Mus musculus: one gene and its partner. The protein of the gene in region 1 interacts with the protein of each later gene in a pairwise test. Links are inferred from orthologs where the notes say so. Each region holds a gene or a part of one and is shown on either strand. Other genes may lie near its edges.

Region 1 (3,518 bases):
CAGACAGGGTTTCTCTGTGTAGCTCTGGCTGTCCTGGAACTGACTCTGTAGACCAGGCTGGCCTTGAACTCAGAGATCTACCTGCCTCTGTCTCTGCCTCTTGGTATTAAAGGTATACATTACCCTGCTCAGCCTGATGATTTTTTTTAAAGAGTTTAGAAAAAGATAAATAAAAACTAACTCAACACAAAGACATATAAGACAGTTTACCTATCACAGGACCCCCCGGGAGCCAGCCCCCTATAATGACTGAGCGTCAGAGACAGCAGTGGAGATGGTGACACCACTCAGGGCCTTCTTGGTTCAGAGTGTGACCTGTGTCTGTGCAAGGTAACTCCCTTGTATTCTGAGACACAGGAAATTTGTGTGCCCAGAGCTCCCAGGGCAAGAGGGATGCACTGAACCGTACCGTTGCAGCATTTTAAGTGGAAATGTTGGGCCAAGGATAAACATAAGTGGTGAACCTGGAGGAAGAGGTCCTAGAAGACAGTCCAAGCCTTGCTCCTGTTCCTGGGGCCTGAAAACCCTACTGTAAAACCCTGCCTTCAAGATAAAGCCTCTTTAAAAATAACAAAATGTCTTCCCCAATAGTCATGAGATCAATCATGGGAACTTGGACAGTCTCAAAACATTTAGGCAGGAGGAACGAAGAAAGTGGACAGCATATCTTGGTAACTGTGACTCCTGACGGTCAGAATGTCCCTTTCTGTTAAATATCTTTGCAACGGAAGATAGACTATTCTTGCTATATCATTTTCTCACATGTGTTCAGTACAGAAGTGTCCCCATCTTCAAAGAGTTTAACTTGACTGTAACATTTTGCTGGCTAGTTTTGTGTCAACGCTACACAAGCTAAAGTCATTTGGGAAAAGGGAGCCTCAACTGAAAACAGGTGTGTCCCGTGTGTCGTTCCCCCCCCCCCCCCACAGACTGGCCTGTGGGCAAGCCTGTGCATTCTCTCAATTGATGTAGGATACCCCAGCTCACCATAGACACTCAACCCAACCTTTGGGCTGGTGATCTTGGGTAATGTAACAAAGCAGGCTGAGCAAGCCAGGAAGTAGCACTCCTCGTGGCTTCTGCTTCAGTTCTTGCCCGGATTCCCCTTAGTAAAGGGGTGCAACTGGAAAGCTGTAAGCCAAAATAAACCCTTTCCTCCCCAAGTCCCTTTTGGTCATTGGTTATTGTTTTATCACATTAATAGGTGCATCGGAGCTCTCGGCCAGGCAGTTCTAGAAGGCAAAAAAGTCCATCCCCACACCTGGACTTAGCTTTGTCTGATCCAACTCAATCCTAATGGTCTGGGCCCTGCTCCTCCCTCCAAACCAAGGGTCCTTTCAGCCTCCACAAGCCAGGATCTACAGCCTCATGCTACTGAACCTAGAGAAACACAAAAGGAACCTACAGCAATAGGTTCCTATTTAGGGGGGGACCAGGCACTGTTTTGGTTTTTTTTGTTTTGTTTTTGAGTGTTGGGAAGGATATTGAGACAAGGTCTCATGAAGGCCAAGCTACCCTCTAATTTATTATGAAGCTGAGGATAACCATTTAAAAAGGATGCTACCATAGGAATCATATCACAGGAAGGTGCCATCATGCCCAGCTAAGAGTTTGCCTTCTTGATTTACTTGCACGGCAACAACTAAGCTTAGCATTGCCTGGGATTTCCTGATCTACACCAGTGGCTCTAGAGAAAAGGCTGAAATCACAGGATACAGAGAACAATCATGATGGTCAGGAAAGGGTCCTACAACTCCCAGATATCCTTGTACTCATATAGAAATGTTTGATGGAACCCACAGACCCTATACAGACAGACATCCATCCCAACAGGCCAGCAAGTGCTGAGCCCAGCCCCAGACGTACCATGGTGATGCCGAGGCTCCAGACATCAGACTTGACATTGTAGCCCTTCTGATTCAGTTCAGGGTTGATCCTCTCAGGCTGCAAGAAAGACCAGAAGGCTTGAACACCCAACAAGGCTCCCTCAATTAGACCTTTTCTCTTCTACACCAAAACAGAATACCATTAGGTTCTCCTGCCTGCATGATATAGGCCAGCAAGAGCGAGAGCCAACCCCTGCCTTCCCCCCAGGCCACCAGTCTTAAGGATCCCCATGTTCCTAACAACAGAGAACACAAGTTCATCCAAACAGGGATCATGGAGTATAGGTAAATGGTGGCAGGGTCTCTAAGACTGGAGGTACGGCTGGAAATAGCCAGCCCACTGCACAGAGGCAAAATCTTGTCCTGGTCTCCACCTTGCGGGGATGCCCTGACTCACGGCCATGTAAGGCTTGCAGCCAGCATCCATTGTCTTTGCCACAGAGTCCACCAGGTAGCCACTGATGCCAAAGTCGCACATCTTCACATGCCCTTCCTTGTTGATGAGGACATTGGATGGCTTCACATCTACAAGAAGAGCAGACCTTTCTCAGTCCATGCCAAATGGGATGCTACCTTCTCCAGTGCCCTGTGGGCCAGCAGCATGCTACCCAATGCCCCAAGGATTAGCCAAGGAAACAGCGGCAGTGAGATCTGCAGCACCAGGCCCCATCGCTCGGCTGGATGACAAATCAAAATGAACTTCAGCCTATCCCAACCAAAGAGAAACATCTGAGCTCTGGAGACTCTACCTTGAGGCTACCTAAGCACGTCACCTGCTATGGACACAAATCCAGCAAGCAGAAGGTAGTGGGTGAACAATGAGGTGGAGTGAAGGTATGCGGATGGGTCTGTGCATGCAAATGAGGAGCCCCACCCATCCCTGTCTCACAGGAGGCAGGAGCCTCCAAGCAAAGGGCCACATGGATGTGAAAAAGACAAAGATGCCCCAGAAAAGACGGGAAGGTTCCATGCCAAAGAGTCAACAATGATGACCCGTGGACAGAATGGGATGGGTGCTGGTCATCGAAGTCCACTTAGCCTCCTTCGTTTTCTAGGTACAGTGCAACCAAGTTAATGGGAGGCTGATACTTAATTAAGTATAACCCTGGAGGGGGAAGCCCAGACTAGTGGCCATGGGGGCAAAGGAATCCCAGAAGAGTCCAGGATAGTCATGTGTGGGGTAAGGGGGCTTGTATCAGAGTCCTAGTGTGACATGCCACAACCTAGGTGCTCCACGGCACAGGAAATGTAAATATGAATGAGAAGCGGGCCATGGGGCTGGAGAGATGGCTCAGTGGTTAAAGCACTGACTGCTCTTCAGAAGGTCCTGAGTTCAAGTTCCAGCAACCACATGGTGGCTCACAACCATCCATAATGAGATCTGATGCACTTACATATAATAAATAAATACATCTTTATGAAGAGAGAGAGAGAGAGAGAGAAGCGGGCCATGGAGCTCAGAAAAAGCTGGGATCCACTTAGTTCCTCCTATTCAGAGTGCAGCAGGCAGAGCCAAAGGCACAAATGCAGAAAGCGGCCTATTCCCCAGCAGGTATATCACAGTCTGCCCCTCCCTGAGCCTCTGTGGCTGATGGAGGACACTGACCTCTGTGGATCACAGACAGCTTGCTA
Region 2 (3,518 bases), on another chromosome or scaffold:
CTGGTCTGGAGTAGAACACGTTATGATCAAAATACACTGTATACGGGTCAGTGTGGTGGCACATGCCTTTAATCCCAGCCAGCACTCGGGAAGGAGAGATGAAGGCAGATAGACCTCTTGTGAGTTCAAGGTCAGCCTGGTCTATTAAGTCAGGTTAAGGACAGCCAGGACTCTGTTATACAGAGAAACTCTATTTCAAAAAGACCAAAAAACCCAAAACAACACTATATAAATACATGAAAACATTATTAAAAACCCATTCCTGGGGCTGGTGAGATGGCTCAGTGGGTAAGAGCACCCGACTGCTCTTCCGAAAGGTCCAGAGTTCAAATCCCAGCAACCACATGGTGGCTCACAACCACCCGAAATGAGATCTGACGCCCTCGTCTGGTGTGTCTGAGGACAGCTACAGTGTACTTACATATAATAAGTAAATAAATCTTAAAAAAAAAAACTATTCCTATATATAATCAGCTCATAAATTATGGCAATTAATAGAAAGCATAACATCCATGTGTGTCCAAGTTCAACATACATGTACAGGCTATTGTGCACAAATTAATGGGAACCAGAGATCAACATGTCTTCACTTCATTTGTGTGTGTTCATGTGCATGTCTCTGTATAATGGTTGCATGTACACACAGATGTCAATAACACTGGGTGTTTTCCTTTATTATTTTCCACATTATTATTATTATTTCTTTTTTCTATTGTCTTTGGAGTCAGGATTTCTCTGAGGTCATGGAACTCACTCTGAAGACCAGGCTGAACTCAAACTCAGAAATCTACCTGAATTGGCCTCCCAAGTGGTGGTATTAAAGGTTTCCACCTTATTTTTAGTGTGCATGAGTATGTATGCACATGAGAACACATGCATGCTCTGGCACGCATGTTAGAGGACAACATGCAGGAATTGGTTCTCTCTTCCCCCCAAGGAGATTGGGGATTAAACTCAGGTCATCAGGTCAGGCTCAAGTGACAAAACACTTTCCCAATGGCGTCATCTCTCGGGTCCCAATGGTAGAGTGTTATAAAAGAGAAACCACTCACTCCACACTGCACCCGTTTCTAGATCCTTTTCCTAAAGGCACAACCATTTTCTTTTTTACTGGAATCCCTATGTGTTACAGAGGAATTTGGTGGCATCTTAGGGAGTTCACACCCACACTCAGTTCTGAGTGCTTCTCTTTTGCTCTTGACTTTAAGTGTAAATCTGCAAAGGGTTGTTTAATATAAATTCTAAATCTGCCTCAAAAAGAATAGAAAAAAATTGGAAAAAATAAACTAGAAATGAAACCTCACTGTTAACCCCACCAGAAGAGACTGTTACTTGGCACAGTGGACAATGTCCTCTTTTATTTTCCATTATGCTATTTTGGTTTTGTTCTGTTCTTTCTTTTATGAGACAGTTTATCTCTCACTATGTGGCCCAGGCCCATGCTCCTGCCTCAGTCTCTTTGTTGAAATTAAAGCTGTCCTTTCTCACACCCATTTACTGTATATTGATTAAGAAACTAGTTATTGCCTCTAACATTTTTTGTGAGATACAATAATTTCTAGAGACCGTTTTAAATCCACAATTTAAAAAGTAACTCCAAGGGAGATAATATATGCATGCTTGATTATGTCACCAGTATGAAAACCATGGTAGCAGCTGTCATCAACATCACGGCACATCCTGACCAAGAGTCATGGGCAACATTCCTGAGTATTTTTACACATACACAAAAAAGCTATAGAGAACAATTCTGGAGTCAAGTTTGAGTTTTCATTTTTTTTTAAACTTTTCTAAATTATTATATAGACAAGAGAAATACATAGTAATAAATAAATTTAACATATTTACTATATATTATATAGATGGATACTATATTTTCATAAATAAATGAATATAATTACTAATTTTCTACTTTGGTACTATATTACATAGTCCTAAACAAAGACAAACTCTTTGAATTTACTCCAAACAAGCCTGAGACCAAAGCTGTTCAAACTGCTGTGAATGAGCAGTTCTGTCTTAAGGTGAGCATATGAAAACATAGGTTCTAAAGAGACTTCTGGATGTTATCTCTGGTATTTTAATTATCTAGCTCCTCGCAAAAAAGATGAAAATTAAAAGATGAAGAACAGGAACTGAAAAGGAGGTATCTGACAATAATAAATTTACCTGGAGGAAAAAAAAAAGATCCCACAAACAACAACACACAGGGTCAGACAGGTAAGAGGCGCTACCTGGGCGGCAAAGCCTGGGCGGGAGCTAGAGGTCCAGGTCGGCGCTGATCCCTGGGCAGGGTTGGAGTGACGTGAAATCTGGGCCAGTATCTGCCCTGCAGAAGATGATGGCTGGACAATGGTTACAGGAGGGGTAAGACCACTATTCCTAGGAAGGAACAAATAGAAAGTGAAGGTTAAAAGGTTGACTCCATCACAGAAGCTATGAATCAAAGGACACATTCTATCCCTAGATTCCTCTGATTTCTTGGAGTTAAGGAAAACCTGATAAATTTAAAAACACAAGAAAGACTGACTGTCACACACTGACCACACAGAGACGTTTGGAACCTAGAGCAAGGCAATAGAATAGGTGCAAAAACAGGAGGAAAAGCAGCTTCGTTGTCTCACCCTAGGTCCAGTAAGTTCTACTGCTTTGTCTGAGGTGACCAGAGAAAGCAAGGGAAGATGACACACGGATCCAGCAACTGAACCCTGCAGAGCCCTGTCAAGCAGCACACACATATGGGGCTCACCTGAAATTCTCTGCCGGCCGGGGGTTAGGAGGGAATGAGCTGCCCTGGGAGAACAGCTGTTGGGTGGCAGGGACAGTGCTGGAGGAGATGCCTTTACTCTGATCTGCAGACCAAAAGGAGTTGGGGGAGGGCCATCAAGGGGCTGTAGCACATAGTTTAATCAATTCCTACTTATTCATGAAGTACTGTAACTGAAGTAGAAGTATGCTGACTGGGCAGTCCCATCAGTAATAATGAAACTCAGCCTGTAAAAGGAGCCTGCGGAAGAAACCCATACCTGCAGTGATGCTGGGATAGATTTCTGGAAACCTTGGATCTCTGTCCTGTGCAAAGAGACCTTCTGACTTCTCAAGGGGCTTGCTGTGTTCTGATCCTGCACTTGCCACAGGCTGGACAGAAACCTATGGAATAAAATAGTGAAAACAATCAATAATGTTCAATTTTATATAGAACATTCTCACTGGCACTGATAAATATTGTTTTTAAGATTCATTTTTGTTTTAAATTGTTGTGTCTGTGTCTGTGTATATGAACATAGTGTCTACAGGTGATTGTGAGCCACCCACTATGGTTACTAGGAATTGAATTTGGGCTTTCTCCAAGAGCAGTACTCTCTTAACCACTAAACCATTCTGGTAGCTTCAATATACATTTTAAAGAAATGTTCATTGTCTCCTTATAGGAAAAAGGTACACTCACCTGGGAATGATTATAGCTGGCCAGCCCATCTCTTCCTGGTACCATATCCAGTTCTGTGTGCTGCTGCTGC

The links. The genes of interacting proteins can lie anywhere in the genome.
Region 2: the proteins of Map2k3 (region 1) and Arnt come close enough for resonance energy transfer, tested with the Homo sapiens proteins (2 studies listed by BioGRID). The link is inferred for Mus musculus from reciprocal best matches to the Homo sapiens genes MAP2K3 and ARNT.

What each region holds. Positions count from the first base shown.
Region 1 is NC_000077.6:60,945,537-60,949,054, reverse strand, and holds part of Map2k3 (dual specificity mitogen-activated protein kinase kinase 3), read right to left. Parts: coding exon 3,493-3,518; intron 2,412-3,492; coding exon 2,284-2,411; intron 1,945-2,283; coding exon 1,867-1,944; intron 1-1,866. UniProt on the Homo sapiens protein: Dual specificity kinase. Is activated by cytokines and environmental stress in vivo. Catalyzes the concomitant phosphorylation of a threonine and a tyrosine residue in the MAP kinase p38.
Region 2 is NC_000069.6:95,489,887-95,493,404, reverse strand, and holds part of Arnt (aryl hydrocarbon receptor nuclear translocator), read right to left. Parts: coding exon 3,449-3,518; intron 3,151-3,448; coding exon 3,027-3,150; intron 2,853-3,026; coding exon 2,750-2,852; intron 2,383-2,749; coding exon 2,235-2,382; intron 1-2,234. UniProt on the Homo sapiens protein: Required for activity of the AHR. Upon ligand binding, AHR translocates into the nucleus, where it heterodimerizes with ARNT and induces transcription by binding to xenobiotic response elements (XRE).